Schizosaccharomyces pombe: one gene and its partners. The gene in region 3 interacts genetically with the main gene of each other region. Each region holds a gene or a part of one and is shown on either strand. Other genes may lie near its edges.

Region 1 (4,624 bases), on a different chromosome or scaffold from region 3:
GTGGGAGTTTACTTTTTATTTTTTGTTTCGATGCAGTAGTGAGGTTTTCACTTCCGGTAAATTCGTAAACAGTAAATAGTTATTAAAGCCTAATTCGACGTACTTTTTTGTACCTATTCATTGGTTTCATGGTGAATGATGATTATACAAAATACAAACTTATTATGACTGGAAACAAAGATTGACTTGCTCATTTTAAATCTTTTGGCTTATAAGATAATTAATTCTCTTCATATTTGGATACACAAATTACAAACCAAATTCGCATAAAAATATTTTCATTACAATTATTAGTCTTGCCTTTAAACCGAATTCATTTTAAATGCTGTTAACAAAAAAAAAACCTTAAAATTATAATTTAAGATTCTGACCTCTTTAGAAGTAAAAACAAGCAAATCTTTCAAGAAATTTCTAGTCTTTGTAATTTTGTTCAAAACTTCCCAAACAGCGACCTTGTAGTTGTGCTATTTTCTTTTTTTCTTTAAACAATCATAAACCAATCTACCAAAATTTTCATTTCTTTTATTAACTTAAAATCTTTTCTCCAATTCAACCTTTTACTTTTTTTTTTTAAACCCAAATAACTTTGTACGATGCAAAAAGATTTAGATCGTAAGTCCAAGCTCCAATGGGTTTGTTGATTCTAGAATCTTGCCGGGAGCAGCCACATTTCCAGTAGGTTGAGCAACGCCATTGGAAATAATGATTTCTTCAGGTACACCGGCAGGGGAAATCTTCCAATGCTTATATTCACGACGTTCTTCAATATAATCAAACGCGTATTCACCTATTTGATCAGCATCCACACCAATTTCTTCAGCATCAGGGCTCACTCGAAGTTGAAGGTAGGGAATTTTGTCCGTAATGAATAAAATGATAAACGTGACAACAAAGTCGTATGCACCAACAGCACAAATATAGGCCATTTGCAAGCCTAGTTGGCGCCAATGGTGATCAAACCAACCACCTCTGATTTTGTTTTCACCAACATAAATACCATCCATTGCTGCGATATAATCAACGGCAAACAAACCATTCAAAAAGGTACCCACAAAACCCGCAACACCGTGGATAGCGAAAATATCCATCGCATCATCAATGCGCATATGTGACTTTAACTTAATGGCCCAATTGCAACATAAGCCAGTAATAGCACCAATTGCCAAAGAGGCATGAGGACTCACAAAACCAGCACAAGGCGTTGCAGCCACCAAACCGGCAACAACCCCGGAACAAAAACCTATGGTTGACCATTTCCTAGTGCGAAAAATGTAGTCGTAAATAACCCATACTAAACCAGCTACAGCACCTGCTAAGTTTGTGTTGGTGATTGCCATAGCGGCTCGCAGATTGGAGCCGTAAGCACTACCACCGTTGAAACCAAGCCAACCAAACCATAGCAGAGATGTTCCCAATACAACATTGAGCACAGAATGAGGGCGAAATTGTTCCTCAACAAATTTGGATCGACGTCCTAAACAAACCGTATACGCCAAAGCTGCAAATCCTGATCCAACTTCTACAGGTCCTCCGCCAGCGAAATCGTATACACCAAATTTAAAAGCCCAACCATTTGGATTCCAAATCCAACACGCTATGGGACAATAAACGACAGTGAGCCACACAAATGTGATGATGAGCATTGGACCAATACGACCTCTTTCAGCGGCGGCACCAGTGAAGAGGGCTACAGTAATTGCGGCGAACATTCCTTGAAAATTTGCAAATACAAGCTCGGGAATATTATTGCTACCAGGAGAGTAATCGGCAAGTGTGCGAATAAAGGCAAAATGACGAAGATTGCCAATATAACCAGAGGTTCCAGTTTGAGAAAAAGCAAGAGAATAACCCCAGAAATACCATTGGAAAAAACTAACACATAAACCAAGCATAGAGAGCATGATAAGAGCCAATGTATTTTTCCTTCTTGCTAAGCCAGAGTAGAAAAAAGCCACACCAGGCACCATAATAAGACACAATGGAGTACAAGCTAAAATCCAACTAGTGTTTCCATAATCATAAAATTTATTAAGATCTTCGTGCAAAACATTTCCACCACTACCACCACTAGGTGTAGCTGTAGCTGGCAGTACTGAAATATAAACAGTAGAAGTTGCTGTGGGAATTGAATTCACTGACGACATGGCAACGAATTTTTTAGAAAAAATTTTTTCTTTCTTTTTTATACCTTTGAAATTAAGAGAGGGATTTAAAAATGATTAAATGTTAAATTGGATTGGAAAGGTCCTAAAGATTCTGAGTTATAAAACTTTTTGGTCAACAAAGAAGCAAAGCACAGTAATAAGACTATTAGTAATTGATTCAGACACTAGAATCAGTGATGGTTAAAAATACTTAATATGATTTAACCAAAAAGGAAGTTGTTACGTAAAAGGGGAACTCTTAAAACAGAAAATCAATGATCTGATCTATATTTTCAAAAAGAAAAAAAAGTAAAATATCCAAGGGAAATGGATAAATATTCTAGCATTTATTAAAAAAAAACACTATTTTCTCTTGAATTTAAGTCAAGATCGAGATATAATCTTCAGCAATTTCTCAAACGAATCAAAACTTCGAGTGACTAGATGTAAACAGCACTTTTACAAGTAGTATAATCTCAAGAAACGATGTCGACTTCCACAATCCCAAACATTCAAAAATTCGTGAAATTGACAATGGCGCTGTTTGGGGAAGAAGTTGTGTTTGACGCTCACCGAAAATCGCTATATATGTCAGTAGTAAATAACGGGGGCACACAGAGGCGACTTCCAGCACGAGTAAAAAAAACCAGGTAGATAGCGGATAATTTCTTTTTTAAATAAATGTTTTTTAACTACAAGGTAGTGATGGTTTTTCTATCCGAAGCTGTAACGGATGACTCGGGAAAAAAAATTCGTTCACAGAAGGTTGTTACTTTTTTGAGATGGGAATAGATGAGAAAGACCGGCATCGTCACAACAATGTACGAGTTTGCCTTTCAGTTAAATGGATTTTCAACACAGCTATTTAACTATTGTGGAGCATGGCCTCCTTTTCCATTCAACTCCTTCCCCCGGGTAGATTTAATGTACAGACAGCAACGACACACGAAATGTAGTTTTGCCTTGAAAACAGTAAGTTTATAAGTAAAATAGGATGGAACAGCGCCTCTAAGACAGTGAATGTAGCAAAAAAAAATTTTTAGTAATTCAACAGAAAATGTAAACAAGTAACTTTCAGATCTGGATTATTCTCCACAGAACGATAGTTGAGATAACAACCTTATGCAAATTTAAGTATGAAGAGATAGGCGATAAACTGCAAATGTAACTGATAGCTGGATAACCAAATTCTATCAATATCTAAACGGTGGGTTATAGATTCGTTTAAAGTTGAATAGTAAGCAGCTTTCACCCTGGATTTGTTGCTCAGTATTGTCGGCAGTCGACCCGTCAAAAAAATGCCACGGAATGGAAGCTGAGGCATAGACACGTGTGAAAGAGAAGAAAACCATTTAATTATCTTTATTTCATTACAAAATGAGATTAAAAAAATGCAAAAATAAAGAACAACTATGCGTGCTTACTGCCTCTTCAAATAGCAGCAACAGAGTATCTAGTTGCGCAAAATAGTAAACTAGAAGGTATCCATTTCTTGCTTCTCTGTTTTTCTAGCTGCATTTTTTTAAGTTATTCTTTCTCTTTTACGTTATTTAAAGCTTCACACAAGCCTTGTTAGGTTTACAGACCAAGTGGATTGGTTCATTTTAATGAGTTTGATGCTAAGTGTACAAAGGATGGTAGGAAGGAATAAAAAACGTAACTTGCCATGTCTCTTCAAACGAAAGGATTCTTTAAACCTATATGAAAGAGTAGCAGGAAGCATACAGGATTGAGCTAATTCTATAGTCATTCCCATTCGCAAATAAATCTAGCAAGGTTTGCTGGATCCAGTAAGGAAACCATCGAGGTTGTCATTATCGAGTATTTGATGAAAGAAATTCATTTGATCCCGTAATGAACCCATTTCTTTTTCAAAGCGAGCCATAACAGCTTCTGTGACAGCCAAAGAGCGCTCAATGGATTTATAATCTTCAGATTCGGTGAATTCATTAGACTGAACGTGTTCTAACCCATTTTCTAGAACATCTTCGCTTTCCTTGGAATATTCATCAACTACAATAAGACTATTAGAAGAATTACGTGCTTCTGCAGCCTCTGCGATTTCTCTCTCACAGCGAATTTGCTCTTCTTGAATAATCTTTTGAAGCTCCTCCAAATCCATACTCTCTTTATACTGGAACCTCCAGACAAGCCAATTTCGAGTATAAATTTCAAACTACAATATTTCACAAAATTTCAAAGGGAATCGCGAAAAATCAACTGAGTGAAGAAGAGAACTTTACCAAATAATTTATATATGCAAAATGGGGTCTTGTATAAGTCAAAATTTCAACAAATTCGCTATCCTTTACTGCTAATCCCGTGGCCTTCCTATCTCTAAGAAAGAAGTAACATCACCATTTGCTACTTTACATCTGTAATTCCCATTTCAATAAGTAAAAGGGTTTTATTTGATAATCTCAACTTTTGAACCTAATACACAATATAGTATTTACAGCCGAAACCAGGTCAGACATTGG
Region 2 (4,061 bases), on a different chromosome or scaffold from region 3:
ATATATGAACGAAGTACCTGTGTAAGAAATTTCTATGACACTGCCATTGGTCAACTTCTCCAACAGCCTTAAAAACGAAACCTGGTAATCTTTGACACCAGGATCGGCTTCATCTGGGTAAATTCCTTCAACTCGAATCGGAGTTCCCGAGAGAGTTGCAAGGACTAACCGATGCGTCAAATACTCACATCCTTTAAAGCGTTTGAGCTGACCGGTTGACATCACGAGTTTAACAATTCAAAATGAATGCAAAGCCCCGAATTATTTTAAAAACGCGTTTTTCGAGACTTTGATATTTCAATTCCTTTACAGGAAATTTTTAGTTTTGGTAAAAGAATTTCTACAGCGCAAGAGGTAGAATTGACCTCTCAGCTAGGAGTTGCCGTGGTAACCGTAAAGCTACTTGTTTACTAAATAAATGTAAACAATAAAAAAAGTACTGTATTTTTTAAAAAATTAACTGTTTTTACTACTAAAAGAAAGAAATATACTTTCTTATATAATATTTAACACATTAATAAAATCAAGTAATTTTATTTCTAGAACATAAAAAGCAATAAAACGATGATTGATTTTATGCTTTGAGAGTTTTGGTAATATATAAATACTTTTTTAAAATGCCAGAGAACACTAGAGGAAAGAATGATACAAAAACCTCTGAAACATTAAAAAAGTGAAACGTTAATATATGCGGTAAAAGCGTTTTAGGCTACGGGATTGAAATTGGATAGCTCAGCGTTAGGACTAGGTTGCGAGGTTGAGTTATTACTGTTGGAATACTGACCTCGCTTTGAGCGATTAAAAAATCCTCCACGGCCACGACCTCCGCGATAAAATCCTCGTCCACCTCGACCACGTTGACCACTTCCTTGGGAACGGTTGACAGAAGGGCGTTTTGAAGATCCTCTGGTATTGGAATTTAATTTGGGTGTTCCATCTACGACTCCATTGCTAGGATCAGCTGCTTGATACCATTCTGGTGACATTGAATCCAATTTTTGCTGCATTTGTTTTTGTTCAACAACTTGATTTTGCGTGGGATAAATATTGGTCCCATCTTTGCCCAAAACATCTACTTCAACATTTTCAGTAGGAACCTGAAGAGTAGAATTAGCAGGAACAGATGTTTCACTGGGGAGAGCGGGTTCCTCAACATGCTGTCCTTCAATTTCGCTCTCATTTAAAAACTGAATGCCACGGTTAAGTGGTCGATTAGTTTGACGGGCTTCGTCATCACTAATACTCTGTTGCTCAATGGGTTGACCAACTGCTTGCTCTGGTTGCTCCGCATAATCATCTTCGATAAGTTCCTCAGCCTGTTCACTAGGCAAAGGAGCAGCGAAAAAATTATCAACTCTAGATGAAATCGTCTGAAAGGACACTTCACTTTCAGGTACAACGTCTGTTGACGAGTCGTTCAAATCAGCAACAGCTTTTTCAGATTTCTCGGTACCCTCATACACAATCACCAATAACTTTTCAACAGCTGAATTGAAAGGCGCATCATCTGAAGGATGAACACAATTATGGCTTGCAAATCGTAGAAAACGGACCAAACTTGAGACTTGCTTTTGAGCGGTGTCATATCCTTCGCGGTATTGTGCTTCAATCTCTTCTTTCCTTTTAGCATTTTCGGTCGCCTCAAACTGACGCTTGTGTTTTTCATCACGGATCCTTGTAGCATCTATTTGGCTTAACAACTCCTTCAACTCATTCAATGTCGTCAATACAGCATCTTTACCTTGTAATGCTTTTCGTTGATCATCATTGAGAGAATTGGAATCGCTAGCAGCTATTTCTTCAAGCTTTAGAATTTTTTGCTACAGATTTAGTAAGTTTTAACGCCCAATTTAATAAATGATCTTACCTTCTTTTTCGTAAAGTTACGAATGCGCTTGGTTAAATGCTCCACAATAACGCTTCCGAGTTCTCCCTCTATAGGGTTTTGGGTGATGTTTTCACTATTTTTATTGTTTCCCTGGCTTGGCATGGTTTTTTTCTTTTCTCGCTTTTATCCCACAGGTTGGTTCTTCGCAAGTTTGGTTGACGTGCCACATGGCTGCCACCCTACATGATGAACCTACTAAGTATCCACATCGTCAAACATTGACTTTAAAAATCCGCAAACACTTTTGGCAGTCTTAATCCCTAATAATAGGAACAATTTATTTTAAGCTATCTCACAAAAAAAAAAATCGAATAGAAAGAATACGTGTTTTTATTAGAATTTGATATTAGCGAATTTCGAAGTCAATTTTTCTAGCATCCTTTACTAATATATTTGAAAACTGAATTATTTTGATTTATAAAATTATGTTTTCTATTGATAGTTGCTTGAAAACAAGGCCCTTAACTTTTCGAATTGCTCGTCTTGGTATGAACTTCACGACATGTTCAGCTGCTAGATCATACGTTGGAAAAAAAGAAATCATTGTTCCAAAAAATATCCAGTTTGATTTGGAGGGGGAACAACTACAGATTACTGGACCTCATGGAACACTTAACATGAGATTTCCAAATTATCTCAATCTCTCGAAAACTAATGACATCCTAAAAGTAGGAATGGATGCCAATATAGAAAAGCAAGCTACTAAAAAGCAACGTGCAATGTGGGGCACTACTAGGGCTATCCTAGCTAATAATGTAAAGGGAGTAACTATGTACTGGCAATCTATTATCAAATTGGTTGGTATCGGGTATCGGACTTCTCTAAACGATGGAAATATTCATTTAAAAATAGGTTATGCAAACGACATTTTGGTCTCTATCCCTACTGATGTACAAGTTGAGAATCCAACGCCAACCAGCTTGGTACTTCGTGGAATTGATCGACAAAAAGTCACACAGTTTGCAGCAAAAATTCGATCGTTTAAAAAGCCCGAGCCGTATAAAGGGAAGGGGATTTATGTTGATGGGGAAAAACCGCAGTTAAAAGCTAAACGGAGCATATCATGAGTTCTTTGGATTTCATTATGCAGTACATTCTCATATTTCAATTTTCCATCTGGCATACACCTTGTGCAAATTCACTATACAAACTCATTTCTTACAAACACTTATTAAATCACATTGCAGTAAAAATTGTCACAGACTGTTAGTAGCGTATAAACGTACAAAAGGAAATGTTATTCAATGAATAAAAATATAAAATCATCATTCGCTCGACACCCTTTGCCTCCTAGAACAGTCCTTTACGGAATGTCTGACCTCAGTTTTTCATGGATTGTTGTGAAACTGCCTGTTTATTCCATTTACGCAATGCAAGTTCTCGTAAGCTTCTTCCTCGGGGACGATGCTCTTTTTCATACAAATAATAACCATAAGTACCGACGAAGATTCCAAACAAAGGATCCATCCATCTGTTTAAGTAACATGTTAATATAATGAACCGAGTCTTCTTACAATCTTACTTAGAAATTAAATAGGGTTGAGACATCTTCTTTTTGAAATGACTTCTTCTCTTTTACGTGGCTAGCTGATTACTTTTAATCAATAGTAGTAGTGAGACTGTAAGGTTGGAAATATGTAGTAGCCTAATGAAGTATATGGGCCGCATTGAGCAAATACCTAGATATATCCATCATACATCCTTTTTATCGTAGTAATAAACTGATATTAGAGTCATTTTGTCAAATTTAAAGCTCGCTTTTTATTAAAAATTTGAGAATGCTTTTATTTATGTTTCTGTTTCTTAAATAATTAATAGTTGCATTCTCACATTCTTTTGAGAAACTTAATAAAAATGTGAGTATTAAATTCTAAGATGAAGTTTGACGAATGTATTTCCCTAAATTGCTTCCTCCTTATTTTTAATATTAGCGAAAATTCGAACTTGCCCACTAACAAAAGCCCAGTACATGTAGAGTGCAAACAAAGCGCACTACATAAACAACCATCGTTGTTAATATGTCATTTTATAAAGAAAAATCAATTAATGAAACAAATCTCGGATCGTTCGTTGACGAAAGTAATGAACTTTTTTTTTCGGCATTATCGGAATCCTCAATGAACCATGGAACTCCTGATGATAGCATTCTACTTGACTTAGTAAGTCGTTCAGA
Region 3 (3,168 bases):
TCTCTTTGTTTTTTATATTAGGACCTTTCTAAATTCGATAATGAATCACTTCTTCATACCCTACATTATATTTGTGTTCATGAGTATTTGAATTCATCTTATTTACAATATTCAGAATAATTAAAATAAAAAATATAAGACAAGCCTGCCCAACATATAAAGAAAACAATATTTGATTATTATTTATTCGAGCTTTTGTTTTAGACATAATATTTATAATTTACTTAAAAATTTAATAAAATCATTGAACTTTTCTCAATAAATTGACGACATTATTTAAAAAAAAAAAATAAAAAAGGTCTTGTAGTATAAGAAAAATAAAAAGATAGTAACAATAAAAAAATAAAATAAAATTAGCGCCTCAAGTCATTTCGACATGATTACAGCTATCCCTTCTTTCATTTTATATTTTTTACTTTTGATGATTGGCTTTTCCAAACAATAAATACCAATTTTAGCAAGAGCAATACGATGGATGTTACATGGTCTGCTTTGTATATATTTTCGGAATGTATAGTAGAAAATCATAGTTTAAAGATGATATTATTGAAAGAGCACTTGAACAATTGATGTATGAAACGAAAAAGTTGAGTCTATATCTATATGCATAAAGGAAAGTAAACAATGCATGAATTTTGAAATATAAAGAATCAATCAATCAATTGAAATATTGGAACGTTATTATCAAGATAGACGCCACAAATTCACTTAATTATCCAAAGCCTTTGATCTTTCTTCGAAGGTAGCCTTGCTAGCAGGTCTGGCAAGAAGTCTTTGATGCCAGGAATAAGTTCTAGGAAACTCTTTTTCAAAGTCGAGCTGAGGCACTTCTTCCTCGATTGAAAACTTTCCTTCTGCAAAAATAATTTCAAGGAAGTTATTCCATGAAATGAATGATAAGTCAGCAATTGTGAACCGGTTGGCCACGAGATAATCACGGTCTTTAAGGATATCTTCGAGGACTCCTAGAACACGTTTGATTTCATTCCTATAACGGGTAATGGCAGATATGACTAGCTCCTGATGATAGACGCTAAACCATCCAGCCTGTCCCCAAATGATGCCTTGGCCAGAAGCTTGAAAAAATAAATATTGTATAACTTTGTAGTATTCAGGATGGTCACGAGGCAAAGATATCTTCCTTTCCGTATCATATTTGTCAGCTAAATAGATTAAAATGGCATCAGATTCCCAAATGGTATAATCGTTATTGTGGTGATCAATCAAGGTAGGTACTCTACCGTTAGGGTTTAAGGCTAAGTGTTCGGGGGATTTCTGCTCATTTTTTGAAAAATTCACATATCTGGTTTCATAGGTAAGGTCCAACTCCTTCAGCGCTTGAACCACCTTCCATGGATTAGGACCATGAGCATGCGACCATAAAGTGAATTGAGCCATGATACTTTATTTTGAGTGTGTTCTATTGTTAAATGAAAGGAGTTTGGCAATGGATTAAAATATAAAGAGCATCTTTACCATTTTATATACAATTCTTACTTCCATTGCGTATGCAATATTTATGAAAAATTTTGGAAAACACCCGAAATCGAGTTGATCAATTTCATCCAACTTACTAATCGATCATACATTAGACTCATACGTGGATTCAACTAAATTTTACTCGATTAGCTGACGACAAGCCGGAAGTTATGATTTATGTCAAAACGTGATCAAAGAAAGATAAATCTACTACCGATTCCATTTACTAATACATTTGAATCCTGTTAGCCGGTTACACGCTACATTTAATCAATCTTGTAATGCATCAAAATTTCATGTAAAATTTCTACCAACATATAGTGCGTGGGGACTGACTTCTCGTTTTGTTTAACTATGTATAATCCTTGTGGGAAATAAACGTATGCTTAGTGTTATATTTAATTTCTTAAAGGGTCGGCTTAATGCAATTCCAAATTCAAATGCAATTAAAACTGTTTCAGGTTCTTAAGACATGTAGTTTTCAGAATTTACGAGTCAGTTGAATAGACATCTTATGATAAAGTTAATATAAAAATAATAAAATAGTCTCAACCATACGCTCGAGATTTATTTTGTTCACCACCTGTTCAAAAACCAACGTGTCAAACTTGCTTTTAGACTACTGCACATATTAATTCAAACATGCTAGGGATTCACAATTGGATTTTCAACTGTAAAGATTAGTTATGACGGAGTTTTGTTTCTCACATATCAATTTAAAATTCTCTTCACTCTAATAATCTTATTTCGAAATCTACTTTATTTTTCATCATACAGTGAGTGTAATATGTTTAATTTCTGTAAGCGAATTGGTAATGATTCCCTATGAAAATTTTTTGTTTACATTTACTACCTTGACAATACGATACGTAAATTTTAAAGCTATTCAACATAACTGCAAACACGATGAGTAATTTTGCATTATAATCAGAAAAAGAGCAATGGAAACCAAAAAGCATACACCAACTTGATCAGAGTAAAGCAAGTACATGAACCAATACATGTTTATATCCGTTAAATACTATTTTTTTTCTTTTTAAAAGTATATAAAAATAACCTTTTTTGGATTATTCAATAAACGTCCAGCTTTTACGTCTTTCATTAATTGATTGAACTTTTAAAGTCGAAACCCGATAAATACAATCATGTCTAATAACGTTTATTCATCAAAAACTTTTATTCATTCAACAAGCTCAAAGCTCCATGTCCTTCAATTGACTATTCAATGTGATACATTGCAGCTTTTCCCATATTCTTACAACCCATCGGCTTAGTTTCAACGCATTTATCCAGGATCCTAGTCCGCGAAATCGAGATGCTTTGAAGATTAAAATTAAATTTAATTTTATGCGAGACTGGTTTCCTTATTTTTTGTATAGTCGCATGCAAGCGAGGTTCGCATAATTTGGAAAATAAAGGTAGTCAAGAAGACGTTGAATTAAGGCTGCAGTTTCAAAGTACTCTACAAACGATTCCTTTTAAAAAAAAAGATTCAAAAAAAAAGGCAAAGGGTTTAAGTAATGCTTGTTATTTCAATTTACCTCCAAACAGTTACTAATGCAATTGCAAAAAAAAAAACCTACCTATTGAATCAAAATTTCTAGCCCATCCATCGCTCCTCAAGATAAAGGAATCGATATTTTGAGTTTAAGGGAGTTGCTGATAGATTTCAGAATTAAAAATTTTTGG
Region 4 (2,653 bases), on a different chromosome or scaffold from region 3:
AAGTAAAGCATTTAATGTTTCCTAATGACAAACCTTTGGAGATGGAGTTCCCGTCCAGCTCTCAACCTCAGCAGACTGTACCTACCAATAACTCGTTATTTTTATTGAAGAATATACCATCATTTGGAGGGTTACACCACTGTATTTTGGGCCGCTATTCTATTTCCCTTGATGATTTTGTTTTGTGGCTTTTAGATAGGGCTCAAAGGCTACAGCAAGCAGTTAGAATAAGTCATCCTTCGACCACATTTTGTTCAAATGTGGAAAATGACATTAAAGAAATATTTGAGGTTTGTAAAGACTATTGCATGCTTCATGTTCAAAACAATTTGAAAGCATTTGAAGAAAAATTATGGGCCGCTTGTAAAGACTTCCTAGTAACATACTAAATAAAATTTATTATTCTCGAAACAACGACTTGCTTTACAAGTGTAAAGTCTCTTATATTCAAATCAACAACACGGGGCACCAGTGGTACATTAACATTTAAAGTAAGCTAAAATTACATTTATCAAACGAAAAATACTATTACGAATGGAGCACTAAAAAAAAATTGGTAAAATAAAACCAACACGGCGATTTATTTTTATGAAAGCGTAATGAAAACAAGGGATCATTTGGTTTAGTCGAAAAGACCGAAACCCATCTAAAATTGTTAGTAAGATGCTTTTGAGAAACAAAGAATGCTTCTTATCTAAAATTAACTTACGTCTTCATCAGATTCCTCCTCTTCCTTGGCTTCCTCCTTAGCAGCCTCCTCAGCAGCAGGGGCAGCACCGCCAGCAGCGGCGGCAGGAGCAGCAGAAGCAGCACCACCAGTGGGGACAGTAGCAAGCTTCTCGTTACCAGCAGCGATGAGCTCGTCGATATCCTTACCGTTAAGCTCGTTGATCAAAGTTTCAATGCGCTCAGATTCAGCTTCAATACCGACAGTAGACAAAACAGACTCGATATCAGAAGCGGAAGGGGAGTCCTTTCCACCAACGGTCAAGAGTAAATAAGCTGCAAGGTACTTCATTTTGACGAGGAGTGCAGTGCGTGTTGATGGCAGAAAGTATTAAGCATTCACAACACTAAGGGACTCGAAACTTTTGTGACTGGTTTTCGAGTTAGGTTAGGGTATGTGTTTGAGTGGAATGCTGCGATGATTTCTAAGGTTTGTTATATTCGTTTAGTTGACGAGCACGATATTTACAAGCTTTTTCTACAAGTTCAAATCAACCTAAATAGTTGTTAGTTAAGGGCGTGCTAATTATTTTTATAATAGTAAGAAAACCGTATGCACAAAGAGGCATAATTAATGTCATACACGTATTTGAGTTTATCAATGGGAATTGAAACAAACATATTAATGTTTGGTAAACTGACGGTTTAAATATAACTTCAAGTGCTTAACTTACTGGCCGAGACTTGAAATAGCTGTATAAGCTATTGAATAAATTTTCTCAATTGTCTTTACTTTCATTTCATTCCTCCTATTATGGGTAACAATGGGCAATTGTTTTTTTTTCGTCTTTTTTTATAGTAATGTCAGCGGTGCCCATGTTAACAAATGTTTCAATCTACAAAACCTAATTATCGCTTAATTTAATTTTAGATTAACTTAATCGAAAACACGTATAACGATAAGACGATATACTCGTAATTGATAAATGACGGATTCTTCTCCAATAATTTTGTGTTTAGAAAAAAAAAATTTCGCACGGTTGCGAAATCTTTATGGCTGTCAACATTTTATTCATATTTGGGACAATTTGCAATTTTAAGCCAATCGTATCCGGTTTTTTGTTAACTGCGAAGCCGTCAAAACTATCCGTAGGTAGTCCCTTGCAAAGATCTAGCAAAATAAATTACATTATATAATAGATAAACCAATAAACCTTACCTACTCGACGGACGGGACGGCTTGTTATCGGAGTATTAGCTATACATCAAAGTTCATCATCATAGCTTTGCTCACATCACAAACGTTTCCATTTTTGTCGTGTGGTATAAAAACGTATCATGCTCCCACCATTCGGTGCTTTGACAACTACAAAAATTCCGCTTCCAAAAACCATACTCCAGTCTACCTTTAACCAAATAAAAAGTAGCAGCTACTCGATAATAGCGGCTCCGCGGTTAACATCGAGATTCATTCGTTTTCCTTGTAATTATAATAGTTGTTTACAATCCATATCTTTTTCATCGCTTGGAAGAAAAAGATTGTTTTTTTCGTCTAGTCAATTGTTAGAGAAAAGTGATAAAAAAAAGAAAATGCCTGATAGATTGAAACGTCGTATTGAGGAAATCGATCATCAAGACGAGATAATCGACAGAGAAGCTTCAACCGCTTCTCCCGTTTCTGGCGCTGGTAAAATTGACCAGAATGGGGAAATCAAAGATTTGCTTGAACGCAATCTGACTTGGTCACAACAAACTAGCAGAAAGTACCCATCCTTTTTTACAGCCACCAAAGATATTCAAACTCCTCAAGTTCTTTGGATCGGATGTTCAGATTCTCGTGTTCCTGAGACCACCATTCTGAATTTACTTCCAGGTGAAGTCTTCGTTCATCGAAACATTGCCAATGTCGTTCCTCGTTCTGACATTAATGCTTTAGCTGTTATGGAGTACTCCGTGACCGTATTAAAGGTTAAGCACATCATTGTCT

Evidence for each region.
Region 1: mutations in gst1 (region 3) and amt2 together harm fitness less than expected from each alone (positive genetic interaction), as found in Schizosaccharomyces pombe (one large-scale study listed by BioGRID).
Region 2: mutations in gst1 (region 3) and cpn1 together harm fitness less than expected from each alone (positive genetic interaction), as found in Schizosaccharomyces pombe (one large-scale study listed by BioGRID).
Region 4: mutations in gst1 (region 3) and rpp201 together harm fitness more than expected from each alone (negative genetic interaction), as found in Schizosaccharomyces pombe (one large-scale study listed by BioGRID).

Annotation. Positions count from the first base shown.
Region 1 is NC_003424.3:1,729,147-1,733,770, reverse strand, and holds amt2 (plasma membrane ammonium transmembrane transporter Amt2), read right to left. Parts: upstream 2,703-4,624; 5' UTR 2,145-2,702; coding exon 606-2,144; 3' UTR 503-605; downstream 1-502. Other genes in the region: SPOM_SPAC664.13 (uncharacterized protein), read right to left, coding at 3,913-4,266. UniProt on the Schizosaccharomyces pombe protein: Transporter for ammonium to use as a nitrogen source.
Region 2 is NC_003424.3:332,589-336,649, reverse strand, and holds cpn1 (caprin), read right to left. Parts: upstream 2,034-4,061; 5' UTR 1,991-2,033; coding exon 1,868-1,990; intron 1,844-1,867; exon of another isoform or gene 1,821-1,843; coding exon 705-1,820; 3' UTR 519-704; downstream 1-518. Other genes in the region: rcl1 (rRNA processing protein), read right to left, coding at 1-222; mrpl6 (mitochondrial 54S ribosomal protein uL6m), read left to right, coding at 2,314-2,955; nce101 (non-classical export protein 1), read right to left, coding at 3,209-3,359, 3,411-3,436; protein eti1, read left to right, coding at 3,907-4,061.
Region 3 is NC_003421.2:1,718,617-1,721,784, forward strand, and holds gst1 (glutathione S-transferase Gst1), read right to left. Parts: upstream 1,455-3,168; 5' UTR 1,399-1,454; coding exon 709-1,398; 3' UTR 527-708; downstream 1-526. UniProt on the Schizosaccharomyces pombe protein: Involved in the oxidative stress response and detoxification.
Region 4 is NC_003423.3:3,641,554-3,644,206, reverse strand, and holds rpp201 (ribosomal protein P2), read right to left. Parts: upstream 1,047-2,653; 5' UTR 1,019-1,046; coding exon 710-1,018; intron 647-709; coding exon 623-646; 3' UTR 554-622; downstream 1-553. Other genes in the region: histone lysine methyltransferase Set6, read left to right, coding at 1-389; nce103 (putative carbonic anhydrase), read left to right, coding at 2,257-2,653.